4 linked regions of the Caenorhabditis elegans genome follow. The protein of the gene in region 2 interacts with the protein of the main gene of each other region in a pairwise test. Each region holds a gene or a part of one and is shown on either strand. Other genes may lie near its edges. The genes, in order: atf-4, zip-11, zfp-1 and cids-1.

Region 1 (3,780 bases), on a different chromosome or scaffold from region 2:
GTTTCTGGCAGTTTAAGTGAGGCATGAAAAGTTGTTGAGATTTTGAGCATGCTGTTCAAGCACGGCATGATTTATAACGGAAGTTCAGTCGGGTGGAATGAAATTCTCAAGTTGAAATTTCTAACAAAAACGAGTTTGATCCAAATACGCAAAATTTTGTTGAATTTTGGAGTTTATTTAAGGTGATTGAAGAAGAAGACGCAGAGCCATACTGAAGACGTGGAGAAATCTGCAAACACTGCTCTTGACGACTCTTTGCATCTCAATGAACCTAATTCAAAAATTCAAAAAATCTCGGACAACTTTGACTGCACATTAAGGTGAATAACGTTTCGGACTAGAATTTTTAGTTGAAACATATTTCAGAAAAAGATCAAGCCTCGTGGAGAGCACCTATCGTTAACTGACGAAAGTTTTACCGTGAAGATGGAGGTGACACGTTATCTCTCCACTGCAGTAGAAACTATCAGTCCGAGAGATTTTTGGGTAAATTCTGTGACCAAATCATCATATCCACGCCTCTCCAAATTTGCTCGACGCTTTATCATCTGTCCAACTGGCTCAAGTGAAGCTGAGAAACTGTGTTCAACAGCCGACACGAGTCTTACTAAATACCGAAAAGCTTTGTCACCTGAGAATTTAAAATGCTCCTATTTTTGAGCAAAAATATTCGTCTAATGAATACTATTGATGAGCCAGAAGGCTACTTGGTTGACTGAAATTATTGATTTATTTTCTTTAATTTCTAACATGTTGTTTTGTTTAAACAGTTTTTTCTGATGTTTTTGTTGTCGGTTTTCAATAAACTGTTCATTTTTCAATAAAAATTAGTTGAAACAGAAAAATAACACAAATTTGAAGAAAAATATCCGAAATATCCAAATTGTCCGAAAAATATCCGATTCAAAAAAATTATTTTATTCGAAACAGCGAACTAAAGGATTAAAGGATTAAAAGACGATCCGTTCTTCAAGTGCTATGCTCTGCGGAACTGGGATTCAGGTAAACTGACTGGTGGTGATCTCACTGGGCTATAATTTAAGCCACATCCTAGCCTGGGACTGTGGCCGATAATCCTGTAGTGGATTGCTCCACTCTCCAATAGAGGCTGGTTAAACCTAGGGGGTCTTGAACTTCAACTCGTGATCTCCAGATTGTTAGCGGCGACCACTACCGACTGAGCTATCTGTCGCTAAAAATCTAAAATAACCGATATCCGAAATAGCGAATATCGGGAAATTTAGATAAGAAAGTTTAGAGAAGCCCTACCTTAATTATACCTAACTGTAAGAAAACACTCTGGGAGCTTTTTGAATTACTTACACATTTTATTAAAAATTAATCTGAAACTTTTTTCAATCCAAAGATCAGCTTAACGTCTTTGATATTTGAATTTCCTCCACTAATCCACATCGATTGATGACGTACGAGACCGCGAGAGATGCAGATAGCACGCGACAGCCCTGATAAACTAAGAGAAATAGTATAAGAAACGGGTGCGATCAGAGAACATACAAAAAATATCGAGCAAACGCCGGAGGTGGAAAAGATTGGGGGCAGCCAAACTACACCAAGCGCTAGTCGTCTCCCTTTCCTCTTCTGTCATTTCACAATCAACACATCACTGGACACATACAGCCACTTTCTCGCAGAAACATCTCATCTGAAAATTATGAACTTCAACATGAACTATAGCACCGAACCGTCTCAATACCAATCTTACGTCATCGCGAACGCTCCTTCCGCCACAGCGCCAATTTGTACAGTAAGTTCATTTAACTTTTAATTGATTAATAATTAGTTTAAACAATGATCCTTTCCAGGAAATCACGTGCTGTGTTTGTTGAGCCTACGGGTCATGCATACGGACAAAATGATTACCAACAAATGGCTTATGTAAATGAACAAAATCCACAGTTCTTGCTTTATAATGGGATGCACAATCAAACCCATTCCACCCCACAATATCATAACCATCATCATCATCACCATCAATCTCCGACATATCCTCAATCATATTTCAACCCCTACTCCCATCAATCTTATCAACAGCATCATTTGAACTCCGATGTCAACTTCCAAATGGTTCCACAAAGCACTTCGGTTCCACCAGATCCGTTTTGCTCAATTGAGCCAATGGAGACTAATGTACAAGCAAAAGTGAGTTGATAGTTCAGAAATTGCGCTCAGGAAATTTCACAAAAACAATTGCACGAAAATTCTGACATGGAAACTGTCTGTCTACTTGATAACGGAGAACCAATCGGGTTGAGAGATCAAAAATGATCTGCGGGAAGACTATGTTAAGGAAATATAGTTAGGTTGAGAAGCAACGGTGGTTTCACGTGAAATTCATGTGATTCAAAGCTATAAGGAAGAGGAAATGTTGTGTATGCTTTTGGTGTCAACGAATGCAAATATTTTAGTAAATGAAACCGATACGTTGCTTCTGGTAAAGTAACATTGAATAATGAACATTTGACTTTGAAAGGGGTAAAATTCAAATAAAACAACCTCCTAGCTTTTTAACTTTAGGGGTTACAATTATCTGCTTTTGCAGAAGTTTTTGAGTTGCAATCCTCTGGAAGTCTTTTGAAATTTGACTGAAACTTTAAAAAAACAATTCGGTATATCCGGAATTTTACATCTAAACATATGAAAAACTCACAAAAATGTTATTTCAGGAACAAATTCTCGAAGAAATCGTGCGCGAGTGCGAAGAAATCGAGCGTCGTTCCAACTCGAGCGCGTCTCCAGCCTCAAATTGGTCTTCAGATGAACATGACTCTCAATCCGAAAAATCTTACCACCCATACAAAACCCCAGAAAAGAAGGAACGAAAGAAGGCTCAAAACCGTCTCGCAGCTACCAGATACCGTGAAAAGAAGCGTCGTGAAAAGGAAGAGGCTATGACTTGCATTGAAGGTCTTAGTGTCACCAATGGCAAGCTGAAGGATCAGGTTTGTAAATTATGAAGAATTTTGAGGATTAGCTTTTTTTCCAGGTATCCGAGTTGGAGCGTGAAATTCGTTACTTCAAAAAGTTCATGACCGAGATGGGAATGAAAACTGTCACCGACTAAACCTCAATTTTTAATGTTTTTTACTCCGTTTGAAAGTTCAACTCATTTTATTATTATTAATATTTTCTAAACTTCATCCTTCCCTTATATTGTACGAATTGTGGATTTTTTAAAATTTCATACGCCAATGGTATTATTCTGTTCGTTTGCATGATATTAACCTTACTCTTCAAATAAAAAAGTATCTGAAACCGATAGATCTATAACTTATCACCAACACTTATAGTTGGTTGTAGTCAAATTGTAGCTTCTTGTTTTGTCATCATTTTTCATTTATTTTGTCATCATGACTACTAGTGAACTTGAAGCGCACGTCATTATTCCAACACTGGCGACAAACTCATATTTTAGCTAAAAACAATTAGGAGTGAGTGGAAAAACAAAAGTATATCGGGGGGAATCGGACAAGTCAATTTGAAATTTGGTTAGTGAAACTTTTCGAGTGGATCAGACTCTTTTAGATAGGAAAGTGTTTAGAAAATTCAAAAATATTTATTTCATCCGAAAATGTACGCTTTTAAAAAATATTGGTTTCATCCAAAAATATACGTTTTTCAAAATTATTTATGCTCCGAAAATGTACCGCAACTAAATTGAAAAAAAAAAATTTTCCGCAGCGAAATTTTCCGCGACGATATTTTGCCACGACAAACTTTTTCCGCCTCAAAGTTTTCAGCATCGAAATTTTTCCGGAGCAT
Region 2 (4,079 bases):
AGAATGAAAAATTCGATCGGAAAATTGTGATTTTCAAAACTCTCGCTAATCTATTTTTTGAAATACCGCGCCTTTTCAATACGGTAAACAACGTAAACAACAAACCCCGCCCATTTTCGTGCAAACACACATTCCGAAAAGTTGTTATTGCACTAACACGGCCCGGCGAACCGTACGTGGCTGTAAAATCTCTACCGTAGTAAAATTTGGCTGACTGAATATTCAACGTTTGATACTCAGCGAAAAGTTTCGTACGACATTTTGCGGACGCGGCATTTTAATTGACGACACTTGTTTTAGTTCTAGAAACGCTGGTCATTTCGGCAATTTTCGGGCAGAAATTGTGAAAAATAAATTAATTTTTATCGAATTTACAAAAAATAATCATTTTAAAGAATTGTATGTTGCTGATATTGAAGAAAATCGATACTTTAAACAGTTTTTCGCAATGTTTCTCGATTTTGGCCAATTTTTTCAAGTTTTAGAGCCCTGAAGTTCCCTAAATCGTATAATCTCACATTTGATTATTGAAAAACGCGTGTTATTATTAAAAATTCGTTTATTAATATAAAAATAACAATGATAATACATAATGGAAATGCAACTGGTGCGCGCAGAGAACGCGTCTGGCGCTTGATACCAAATAACTAGCGAGCTGCGAGCGCGCGCCATGCGCATCACGTGTGTGCGCCAGGTAGCCAAATCTGCCGAGTTGCTTGATCTACTAATAATTTCCAGAGAATATCGTTGAACTGATATACAAGTATGTGGGGGAAAATGGCTGGAGACATAAATAATATAAGAATCATTTTTTGGCAAGTTTGGCGAGGAAGGCCTGTCTCATCTCGGCGACCTCCTTCTCGAGATGTCCGGCTTGAAGCTTGAGCCGCTGATTACGATCCTCCTCGGCTTCGAGCTGATCCAGAAGATCCTGCCATTTCGCCTTCTGCTTGTCACGATAACGGGCGGCCGCAACTTTGTTTTGCTGGCGTTTACGGGATAGAAGCTTGGTTTCATCTGGAAATTTTAATAATTAAATTTTAATTTTAATCCTGAATAAAACTACCATTCGACGAGCCTTCCTTCTTCAAATTATCGACAGTTTGCATTACAATATCGACGAGATCATTAATCGGAATCGCTTCTTGAGCACCATTCTCGTGCTCTACTTGACATTTCTCGCAGTCGCCGGCGCTATTCATAATATGATCGCATTCTTTCGAGATTTCCTCGAAAATCTTCGATTGCTCATGTGGAATCTCCTTTGTTGAGCAACGTTCGTGAACACAATCCACTTCGGCGCACCAGAATTGAGGGCTGAGATCGGTTTGGCCGAGATCTGGAAATTTATTGGTTTTTGAAAATTCAAGACAGATTTGGCAGAAAATTGTAAATAATCGATCACCTTGATAGGATGGTGGCACAGAATTGTAGTAGGACGTCTCGACTGGAAGATCCGATGGGCATGACAGCGTCTGATAGCATTCCGTGTGATGAACCGACGAGTGCGGGTAGTGATGGTGGTGGTAGTGGTCGTGGGGGTTCAGCTCGGCGTGCTCATGGTAGCTGAAATTATATTAATATATTTTTGCTTTTTACATTCGAAATAGCCCATTTTCCTGGAATTTAAACTCAAAAAACGGGTTTATAACGTTTTTTTTTAACGTTTTAAAAAAAATTAATTTTTTTTTAATTGATGGTGTTTGCGTACTTGCACGACAATTTACGAGAAAATGCGGACTTTTGTAGTTAAGTTTGGAATTTAAAATTCTGAAATTCCGCATAAGACCTGAAAAAATCGCAAAAATAAGAATAAAATATTATTTCAATGAAAAAAAAATTGATTTTTGTGAAAAATATCGATTTTCGGCTTCTAATATTATAAATTGTGAGAAATAGCCAATAATTAAAAGGGGTTTTCGAATATTTTTTAATTAAAACACTATTTTTTATGGAATATATTGCATTTTTAATATTTTATTCTCGCGAAAATCGATATTTGCATATTTATTTTATTAATTATTGAATAGAAAAATCTTTAAATTAAATTTTTCTCGGCTTTCCTAAAAATTTATCAATTCCAATTTCAATTTCCATTACAAATTTCCATTTTAAAACAAACCTATAATTGCAGTGATTATTCTCTGCATTCGGGGGCCACATTTTCGTCGAAAAATTGCCTTAAAAAAGCGAAGGCGCGTCGAACGACGAGACGCGAGTGGGTGAAAGAATGAAAGGCCTAGACAGCGAGCGCGGCCTATCGATTGTGACGGGCCTTAGCGCGGAGAGAGCGTGCCGGCGTGAGAGACGCAGAGATAGGTCGGTTAGGCAGTGCGGTGAGATAGCGCGCGGGGTGTGGAACCGCAGAGTGTGCGCCGTGATGTCCTCCGATTTTTGTTTCGAAAAATAGAAAAAAAAAGAAGAGAAAAGGTGAGAGAAAAGAAAACACAGCAGCAGCTTTTGAGGAGAAGAGTTCAGGTGATTGATGAGGATTCCACGTCATCGGAGAAGACGATTTTTTTCTGAAAAATTGAAGGCTTTCAAGGAAATCTGTCCATTTTTCGCTTCATCTTCTTTTTTATGTACGTGTTCTAAATTATTTGGCACTGAACATGGTTTTTCGGTTTTCGTATCTTTTGGCGCGAGTAGCGTCCACCGGTACTCGCCTTATCGCCTTATCAGTATACCAAAAGTTTTTCGTAGAATATGCAACATTTGGAAAAGGCGATAAGCTGCACTTAAATGCACTTTGTTCTCGAAAAGCCTCTCGGCAGACAGATAAGCCGACACTTTATTAGAAAGAAGGCGCATGCCGTAAAACGTAATGAAACGCCTTTGCACAGCGGCAGCAGGGCCTAAATGAAATGAAATGCCTAACTAAACGAAAAGATCAACCAGCAAGCAAAGGGAAAAGTGTAACGAAATTCGGAGGGGAAAAAGTTCAAGCATAACGATCATTGAGATTGTTGGGATTGATAGAGGGTCAATTTGTACTATTTGTTTATAAGTGCAACAAGAGATGCACCAGGGGTGGGCGGCAATTACCGTTCTACAAATTTATTTTCCGGCAAATCGGCAAAGTGCCGGTTTGCCGATTTGCCGGAAATTTTCAATTTCGGTAACTTGCCGATTTGCCGGAAATCTTCAATTTCGGTAACTTGCCGATTTCCCGGAAATTTTCAATTTCGGTAACTTGCCGATTTGCCGGAAATCTTCAATTTCGGTAACTTGCCGATTTGCCGGAAATCTTCAATTTCGGTAACTTGCCGATTTCCCGGAAATTTTCAATTTCGGTAACTTGCCGATTTCCCGGAAATTTTCAATTTCGGTAACTTGCCGATTTGCCGGTTATTTTCAATTCCGGCAGCTTGCCGATTAGCCTGAAGCTTTCAATTCCGGTAACTTGCCGATTTCCCGGAAATTTTCAATTCCGGCAACTTGCCGATTTGCCGGAAATTTTCAATTCCGGTAACTTGTCAATTTGCCGGAAATTTTCAATTCTGGTAACTTGCCGATTTGCCTGAAGTTTTCAATTCCTGTAACTTGCCGATTTGCCGGTAATTTTCAATTCCGGTAACTTGCCGATTTGCCGGAAATTTTCAATTTCGGTAACTTGCCGATTCGCCGGAAATTTTCAATTTCGGCAACTTGCCAATTCACCGGAAATTTTCAATTCCGGTAACTTGCCGATTCGCCGGAAATTTTCAATTCCGGTAACTTGCCGATTTGCCGGTAATTTTCAATTCCGGCAGCTTGCCAATTTGCCGGAAATTTTCAATTTCGGTAACTTGCCGATTTGCCGGAAATTTTCAATTCCGGCAACTTGCCGATTTGCCTGAAGCTTTCAATTTCTGTAACTTGCTGATTTGCCGGAAATTTTCAATTCCGGCAACTTGCCGATTTGCCTGAAGCTTTCAATTCCTGTAACTTGCCGATTTGCCTGAAGCTTTCAATTCCTGTAACTTGCCGATTTGCCTGAAGCTTTCAATTCCTGTAACTTGCCGATTTGCCGGTAATTTTCAATTCCGGTAACTTGCCGATTTGCCGGAAATTTTCAATTTCGGTAACTTGCCGATTTC
Region 3 (4,984 bases), on a different chromosome or scaffold from region 2:
TTTCTGGTCTCTGACACTTATTGTCATTATGAACACCTTTTAGATATCTTCAGTGAGGAAATTGTCGGAAAATTAATATAATTTCTATGGTTTTTCATTATTAATTTTTATAGTCAAATTTAGAAAACAAATCCTCGATAAAATTTATTTATTTATTTTTGATTCATCAAAAAAGAATTTTTAGCCTTGAAAAATGTTTAAAAACCAGTGAAGTTCTATTAATAAATTCTCTTGCTTCTTAAATTTTTTTTTTTAATTTTAAAAACTTTTTGTTAAAGATGTTAATTTTCTGTAGAAATTTTTATTTCACACAATAACCATTAGTTAAATTAAATTTATAACTGTTCCCCAAGTGGTTTTAAAAAATCAATAAAATGATTTCTTGACTATCGTAATCCTTCGTGACCCCTCTGTAGAGATTTTCTTGTGTTATGCAAGTACCCCATCGTAAATTTTCTTTTCTCGATACCCGAAGTATATCCGATCACATCTGTGTCTATGATGATACTGATTACTTTTCCATTTATATTTATCACCTTGACCGTTAATTTTCAATATTTAATTTTTCAATGACAATACAATGTTAATTTTTATAAGGTTATGTGGTAGAAAATGTTAGGCGAGGTTTAGAGAAAAATATAAAAGTTTATTAACTTTATTTCGCCCTTGGACGATTTTTTAAGCATCCAAATGACTCTTTTCATTTAAATTTTTATATTTTCCGATCCGTATATTATTTTCTTTTCAACTAATTTTATTAAAACATACGGCTATATGAAATAAAGCACTGGAACGCAGAAAGTTAGAGAGAAAAGGAGCAAAGCTTCCCCTTCTTGTTTGTATGTATGTGCTCCTTGTGTGCATGTGACATAGAAGAGCCGACGTCGCTGCGCCCCTGTGAGAATTCATGCATGCTTGGCACGATGCCAAGTTGTATGTGTCTATCTTCACCTCCTTTTTCTTCTTCTTCTCGATTGCTTCTCCCTCTCTTCCAAACGAGAACGTGATGTCGGTCTCTCCTACTGTAGGCTACTAGTTGTCTGTGTCTAATACTCTCTCATTGTCAAAGACTTCAAATCGGGAAGATTGTGATGGTGGTTTGGTGACGAGAGAGAGATAGAGAGAGAGAGAGAAAGACACTGACGATGTCGTCGTTATCAGTGTATTTCTTCTTCTTCCTTTTCTTCCATACACAATCTGTAATTCTCTGTCGTTCTCTCAATTTGATTATCACTATTAAATGTATATTCATTCATTCACGCCCATAACTTTTTTGACTTGACTGAATCGAAAATCGAATCGATGGCCGCTCCCCGATAATAAGAAGGAGAGAGAAAAGAGAGACGCTGCAAAAATTTTTTGTCTTTGAATGACCTCTATTCGTCGTATTGATTGACTGCTGCCGTTTGTCTTTTGTGACGAAATTTTGTACAGTTCCATTTTCTTTTATTTCAAAAATTGAGAGAAAAATATCTAATGCTCGGCGTTAAATTTTCAATGAAAAATTTGTTCACTCAAATTGGCCCGAAAAGTCCGAAATTCATAACGAAACTTTTCAATAATTCCTCAAACTTTTTTATAGCAGTTTTACCTAAAATTCTAAATTTTGAAGAATTAGCCTTTATGCAAAATTTTGAATGGCCATAAAAGATTTTTCAATGAATTTCTGAAGAGTTTCGTAATTTGATATTTGATATTTTCAAATGGATTTTTAGTGTATTTTATAAAGCAAAACATTCTTCAATTTATTTTGTTTTCCGAATCTAATATTTAAATATCTCTATGAAACTTTAATACTATTTTTGATACGCATTCAATTATAGATAATTGTTAAACGTTCTTTTTTCTCCGAAATTAGGTTATTTCTATTTGTTCTGTTTCTTTATTTGTCGCTCGGCCATAATAAATCAATAATTTACGGCAATATACCTCTAATCTCCCCTTTTCTGCGTAATTTTTACCGAATTTTTACAGCACATCACCATACAAATGAGCCACGCCTGACCTCTTGACCAGCTACAGTAACCCAAAAAAAATTATCGTAAGTTTTTTCGAATTTTTGTGGAAAATTTGTGAATTGTATTCTCAAATGGATAATTATTTTTACAGAGTCCCCCGAAATTGCTGAAAAATGAAGGAGATGGTAGGTGGATGCTGCGTTTGTGCAGATGAGAATGGTTGGACAGACAATCCATTGATCTATTGTGATGGAGAGAATTGTGAAGTTGCAGTACATCAGGGTGAGTAGAAGTTCACAGAAATTGAAAAATTTTAGTATTTTTCCCGATATTTCGAAAAAAAATCCAACGTTTCCAAGCATTGTTTGAAGTTTTGCTTTTTTCCATCTTATTAGATGAATTTGATTTTTTTTTTTCGATTTTCTCTCAAAAAACCAAATTTTCCGATTAGGCCCCACCGAATTTTTATCATTTCAGGATGTTATGGAATTCAAGAAGTACCCGAAGGCGAATGGTTTTGTGCAAAATGTACGAAAGCATCAGCTATGATGCCCGGCAGTATAAATGAGGCAACATTTTGTTGTCAATTGTGTCCGTTTGACTATGGAGCATTGAAAAAAACTGATCGAAACGGATGGGCTCATGTAATTTGTGCACTTTACATTCCAGAAGTGCGATTTGGGAACGTACATAGTATGGAACCAGTCATATTAAATGATGTACCAACTGATAAGTAAGTTTTTCTCAAGAATATGGGTAATTCAATATGAAAAATGTGTCTGATCAAGGGTGAATATTTTTTGAGTTTTCGACTTTCGATTTTTTGACTCTCTGGAAAATCTCAAATTTTAAAAATTTCCGGTACATTTCTGAACCGAAATTTTTTTTCCAGTTTTTCGATTTTTCGACTTTCAAAAAAAAAACAACAACAAAAAATCTAAACATTTTAAACTCTTTCTTTGAAAAAATCTTGAAGTTTTATTACTATCTCGATCAATTTATATATTTTATAGATTCAATAAACTGTGCTACATCTGCAATGAAGAACGTCCAAATGATGCGAAAAAAGGTGCATGTATGTCGTGTAACAAGTCGACGTGCAAGGTATTTTTATTTTTCTTTAAATTTCTTGTAATTTAAACGAAATTTTCAGAGGAGCTTTCACGTAACCTGTGCTCAGCGGAAAGGACTTTTATGTGAAGAAGGGGCAATAAGTCGGAATGTCAAGTATTGTGGTTATTGTGAAAATCATTTGAAGAAAGCGGTATGTTTATTGAAGATTTATGCGCTAAAAATTGAGAAAAAAGTATTAAAATCGATTTCTTAATATTTTAAGAAAATCAGGCCAGATTATCACTTGGTTTTTCATAGAAGTGAAAATAAAAATAGAACTACAGTACCCATCAATTTCAAATATTTAATCCCTAGTCATACTGGTGCTGTGAAGGTCCGATGCTTGATAGACCAGGTGGATAGACACCTGTCTCTTGAAAAACTAGAGATTGTACGGAGTATTAGAGATTCAGAGAAGTAAAAATATGAATACAATCGTGTGTGCCCGCTTCTTCTCTGCATCTCTTCTCAGGATACTCTATTTCTGAGTCACAGCATTGGGACCCTGGAATAGCAACACAGCCATTGCGCTTCACTCTTAGAGTGAAAGAGATAGAGATGGAGAAAGAGACGTCCTCCGTCCTGTTTTCATATCTGCGTCTAAAATCTCTTTATCCTGAGAAAAAGAAACCGAAAGAGAGGTTGAGAGAGAGAGGGAGACATTGTCGAAGGAGGTCCGCGTGCTTCCACATACACATACACACACCATCCATTCAACACAACACACTTGAGAAGATGGAATAGACGAGAGAAGAGAGTACAGACGTTTAGACGAAATGAAATGGGTTGGGCCAACGGCTGGCTGGATGGATGGCTGACTGAGTGTGACAACGACAAATAGTGCTCGGGGGGGGGGGGGGCACTGAGAGAGATAGACGAAGAACTCGGAGAGACATAGACACAAAAAGGAACAAATTGCTGTCGGGCCAAGCGAGTTTGGAAGAGAAAGAGACGTGCATAGAGTGTCTCTCTCTCTCTCAATTTCATAAGCTTAGATGATTCTCTGCGTCTGCTCTTCGCCGCCCCTTCTGGACTTCTTTTTCTCGGGTGGCCCCCGGCGGCCGTTGTTTCGTCTGCGCTTCTTATTTTCCTCTTTATCGTCATCGTCGTATTCCTCGCTTTGTCCTGCTTTTTCGTTTTCTCCGTCCGTACGCACACATACATACACACGCACATAGTGAGGCAACATCATTCTCTTGTGCTTCATTTGGTTCTTCTTCGACGAATACTCGATAGATTTGAATATAGTCGTCGCCACGTCATACTCTACATTTTCCTGCTACATCATCCTTGCATCTCCCCACTTTCTCACTTGTTACGGTTTTTGCTTAACTCTCTACGTCTCTACTCACTCTCTCACCTACTTTCCTCTTCTCGTTGTGTTTGATGTCACCTTTCTCATCGTCTTCCGTCAATGGAGTTTTTTTGTCGCCAAAGAGAGACATTCACTCATTTTCTCTTCCGTCTCCCTGAAGTAGTTCTATGTTCTTTTTTTTTTTTTTCTAGACTTTGTCATTTAACATTTTTGTTTTACATTTTGGTACATTCACAGAATTATTTCTAAATCTAAATTAAACTTTTGATCTTGAAAGTAGGCCTATCATATAGGCCTCACCGCCTGCCTGCCTCACCTTAAGACGATCTTCGCCTGTTTCCAACTAAGTTGAATGTCTTGATTGTTCTCGGGGGTTGTCAAATTTTTGATGTTATTCTAATTCACCTAATTTAAATTAAACGGTAACAAATATCATAAAACCCTTTAGTTTTTTTTGAAAAAGTCTAATAATCTTTATTAGTTCTTTTTACTAATGAGGACGCTGCAAATTTTTGTTTTTTTTTTCAAAATTCAGCACAAACTTTTCCAAAACACTGAGCAATGTTTTGTTCCGTCTCTTTTCAATATCTAAGTCTCC
Region 4 (3,752 bases), on a different chromosome or scaffold from region 2:
CATTAGCTTAAAAGTACTATTCCTAATTTAGAGTTGTTTCCTACAGTAATATCATTCCAAAATTACAATTTTATAAAATACAGTATTTATGATTTTTGATCGACCATTACATAAAGAATAACCTGTCATATTATTTTTATTGCCAAAATAATTATTACTCAAGTTTTTCTAATCTCGGGAATATTTATATAATTAGAAGCTAAATGTTGCCAAAAGCTTGACCTACCAAAATAGATTGCAAATCGAGTCCTCGCATTTTGAGAACTTCCAAAGTTTGATTGTAGATGTTAACTTGAATATAAGTTGACATTTTTCAGTAAATACCAACTTGTCGAGTTGCAAAGCAGGAATGAATCAATGACACAGCTGGGCAGACCACAAAGTAAGAGACTCGAAACGCAGACGGTTCTAAGCAGCGCCGACTCACTCCTTCTTTTGCATTATATCTTGTGTCTCACTCGTGCGTTCTTGCCCTGTGTGTTTTCGCTCTCTGCATTTTTCTCTCTATTTTGTAGTTTGCGTTGGACGCCGAAATGTAGTCATGTTGTAGACTACAACATATAAGTGGAGGAATATTTATCAGATTACCGGGATGGTAAAACAATTTCAGAGGGGAAGAGGATACGAATAAGTTAAAATAAAATGAGATAGATACTGCAATAATTAATCCTCACGAAGTGGCAGGAACTTTACGACGACTGGCTTTCCGGCTTCAGCGATGACCAAGTGAATTTTGTCTCCAGTAGAGATTTCACGCTCAGCAGCACCACGGAACGAATCCTAGAAAAAATAAATGAATTAGGTTAAAATTACGAAATTCAATTATACCTTCATCAATGAGATGGCTCTGTCCAATGTGAGTTCCGGACGCTCATATCCTTCAGAGAGCGTAACGTGCCCGATTTGACAATCCAAGAATGGAATGATCATTGGTTCAGCGGCTCCACTGGCTGAGTATCCAAGACGCTCGATACATCCGATTGGGTCGTAACTGAACACGGCCCCTTTTCCGTGCTCGTCAATTCCGGCAAGAATAGCTCCAGTGTAGTATGGGAAGAACCGACGGTAATAGAGGTTGCGGGAGAGAAGTTCTGCGCAAAGATCCACAGACATGTCAGAGCGATAATCGAAGCGGTACTTGTGGAGACGAGATTGGAGAACTTTCTTCAATTGGAGGACATCTCCATAGAATCCAGAGGTGGTGAGGATGATGTTATCATTCCTGAATTAAGAATTATTATTAAAACAAAGACAAATACTGGCTTACAAAATTTGAATCTTCTCTGCGTCACGTGTAAGAATGTTGATGTCGTTTTGGGTCATTCTAGTATCACTTGCCACGATGGCAAAGTTCTCCCCAGAAATGGCACAGGTTGATCCTCCCTCCATTGAATACGGGTTCCAGCGTTGACGCTCAATTTGTCTGGAACTCATCCACTCTGGATGAGCTGCAACTTCCTTCATTGCCTGCTTGAACATTGCCATTTCATTGGTGGCGTTGGCGACAGCCGTGATTCCAGTGAAGCTTGTCATCTGAAAAAGGCGTATACTTATTTAGTTGAAACAATATAAATATTCAATATGACAAAATTCAATTAATACAGAAAACAAATGCTCGAAATTTGAGAATTCAACATAACAGGAAATGCTGACAATGAGAGACATCGTCATTTACAATGTTTAGTCCGCAGTTTTCTGCGCGTTCAAATGCACATCGCACATCGAACTATACGACACTTTGCTGAAATTTATTGAAACGCGTTTTCCTCTCTTTTTTGAATGAAAATTCATTTTTCCAAGGTATTTTTGAGGACAATTCATCGCTTTATCTACATTTCTGATTAAAATTTTTGTGATTTCTTTTTTTCAATAATTGATATTTCAGATGGCAGATTTCACAGAGCAAACTTTGCGACAGAAGTTAACAAATTTATCAAACCACCCTTCCTCAATTCAGACGACTTCTGCCTGGCTTTTGCAAAATCATAGCAATCGGGAATTGATCATTCGAGTTTGGCTAAAGGTATTTTATTCATATTGTATCATTTTTTAGTGTTGTATTTCAGACAGTAAAGAAAGAAACACACGGCTCAAAAATTGTAAATCTTCTTTATGTGGCGAATGATGTAAGCCAAAATGCGAGAAAGACTTGCCCACAATTCAAGGACGAATTTTTTCCCGCAATAGAAAGTTCTTTCAGGTATTGGCATTTTCAAACGTCTAATCTCAAAATTAATTTCAGGCATGCAATCGAGTTGAAAAATGCAAAAGAAGTGGAACATGCAATTGGTAAACTGATCAATGTATGGAAAGATCGTCAGATATTCACTCCATCACAATGCAAACGGCTTCATGAAGTTCATCAACAAGTTAAGCTATCTGGAAGCTTCCCAACACCCGCAGTTGCGAACAAGGAACATGGAAAGGTGTGTGAATTTAATAAATTCCAAAAGAATGCCAAAATGAGCTTAAGGTCGCTCAACCTAGTCAGTTCGTCGTTGAAGAAGCGAAAAAGAATGCACAAGATGTTTTGCTCAGTTTGAAGCGCCTTCAAAACCCGCCGAGCACGGAAAGAGAAATTCGCACAGAACTTTCAAAATATCCGGATAATATTTCGTGCCCAGAAAAGTTGCAGTCAGTTCGAAGTTCGCAAGAAGCACAGTCTCTGTTGGTCCAAAATGAAGAAGCTCTTCCGATGCTGGAGGAATATGTTAAAAGGTTTGATTGAAACTTTTGTGAATTGATTTTGTACATTAACTTATGCTTTCAGGCTGAAAAACGAGACAAATGAACGCGAAACTCTCGAATCGAACTTGAATATGCTTATAGAAAATGTTAGAATGAGCATTGAACATCACGAGAAATTGTGCAGAGAAGTTAAGCGTAGAGAAGATCGAATCAAGGCAGATTTGTTAGAGGTTTGAAAACTAGAAAATCAGTTTTTGCAGACTTGAATTGAATTTCAGGTTGAAAAAACATTCGAATCGTTGCCAGATTTGGCTGCTGAGATGCCAAATGCACCATTGCCAACACTTGAAGCTTTGTTCGAGAAGAGGAAAAAATAAGTATCATACTACGTCATAATTATAACTTTACGATCTCAGTAGCTTTTACTGTACCCCCATTGTTGTATAATTTTTGTTCACTTTGATCTTTTACAATCGTGATCACCATTACCACATAAGTGCTTTATACGTTTTTCTTCTGAACCACCTTAAATGAATTTATTTTTTCTAAAATTCAAGTTAGTTCTATTATCTGAAAACGGTTCTTAACCAGTGTTTATCTCTGAAAGTTTGAAATTAATTGTTTAAAAGCTGATATTTTACAGATGGGTATTCTGGAGAAAATTGCAGAAATCGAACATGAAATTTCAAGAACCCAAAAGAATAAAGCCACTGAATACCATTTGGGTCTTCTAAAAGCAAAGTTGGCAAAATATCGTCAACAATTGTTAGAACCAACAGGCAAAGGAGGTGCCAAAGGAGAAGGATTCGATGTAATGAAAAGTGGAGATGCGAGAGTTGCAATGGTTGGATTTCCTTCCGTCGGAAAATCGACTCTATTGTCCTCAATGACTTCCACTCACTCAGAAGCTGCTGGATATGAATTCACAACTCTTACGTGCATTCCTGGTGTCATCTCTTACAACGGAGCCAATATTCAATTGCTCGATCTTCCTGGAATCATTGAAGGAGCTTCTCAGGGAAAAGGAAGAGGAAGACAGGTTATCTCAGTTGCAAAAACTGCAG

Evidence for each region.
Region 1: the proteins of zip-11 (region 2) and atf-4 interact in a two-hybrid assay, tested with the Caenorhabditis elegans proteins (one large-scale study listed by BioGRID).
Region 3: the proteins of zip-11 (region 2) and zfp-1 interact in a two-hybrid assay, tested with the Caenorhabditis elegans proteins (one large-scale study listed by BioGRID).
Region 4: the proteins of zip-11 (region 2) and cids-1 interact in a two-hybrid assay, tested with the Caenorhabditis elegans proteins (one large-scale study listed by BioGRID).

Annotation. Positions count from the first base shown.
Region 1 is NC_003284.9:14,808,649-14,812,428, reverse strand, and holds atf-4 (Transcription factor atf-4 homolog), read left to right. Parts: upstream 1-1,765; 5' UTR 1,766-1,823; coding exon of another isoform or gene 1,824-1,847; 5' UTR 1,848-1,887; coding exon 1,888-2,160; intron 2,161-2,684; coding exon 2,685-2,960; intron 2,961-3,004; coding exon 3,005-3,082; 3' UTR 3,083-3,273; downstream 3,274-3,780. Other genes in the region: T04C10.3 (Coiled-coil domain-containing protein 96), read right to left, coding at 1-68; T04C10.11 (uncharacterized protein), read left to right, coding at 1,625-1,765, 1,824-1,847. UniProt on the Caenorhabditis elegans protein: Transcription factor.
Region 2 is NC_003282.8:3,309,652-3,313,730, reverse strand, and holds zip-11 (Transcription factor zip-11), read right to left. Parts: upstream 2,456-4,079; 5' UTR 2,164-2,455; coding exon 2,123-2,163; intron 1,567-2,122; coding exon 1,406-1,566; intron 1,340-1,405; coding exon 1,067-1,339; intron 1,018-1,066; coding exon 806-1,017; 3' UTR 542-805; downstream 1-541.
Region 3 is NC_003281.10:8,796,424-8,801,407, forward strand, and holds the start of zfp-1 (Zinc finger protein zfp-1), read left to right. Parts: upstream 1-1,974; 5' UTR 1,975-2,041; intron 2,042-2,109; 5' UTR 2,110-2,131; coding exon 2,132-2,240; intron 2,241-2,435; coding exon 2,436-2,691; intron 2,692-2,971; coding exon 2,972-3,062; intron 3,063-3,109; exon of another isoform or gene 3,110-3,111; coding exon 3,112-3,222; intron 3,223-4,062; coding exon of another isoform or gene 4,063-4,278; intron 4,279-4,984. Other genes in the region: F54F2.6 (uncharacterized protein), read right to left, coding at 4,063-4,278. UniProt on the Caenorhabditis elegans protein: Recruits the histone methyltransferase dot-1.1 to chromatin to methylate 'Lys-79' of histone H3 and activate transcription. Recognizes and binds histone H3 methylated at 'Lys-4' (H3K4me) at the promoters of target genes.
Region 4 is NC_003281.10:8,242,560-8,246,311, forward strand, and holds cids-1 (CID domain-containing protein 1), read left to right. Parts: upstream 1-1,885; coding exon 1,886-2,023; intron 2,024-2,066; coding exon 2,067-2,200; intron 2,201-2,242; coding exon 2,243-2,426; intron 2,427-2,473; coding exon 2,474-2,718; intron 2,719-2,770; coding exon 2,771-2,918; intron 2,919-2,966; coding exon 2,967-3,065; 3' UTR 3,066-3,235; downstream 3,236-3,752. Other genes in the region: Putative zinc finger protein C02F5.12, read right to left, coding at 227-310; pbs-6 (Proteasome subunit beta type-1), read right to left, coding at 664-780, 829-1,222, 1,268-1,533; putative GTP-binding protein C02F5.3, read left to right, coding at 3,332-3,752.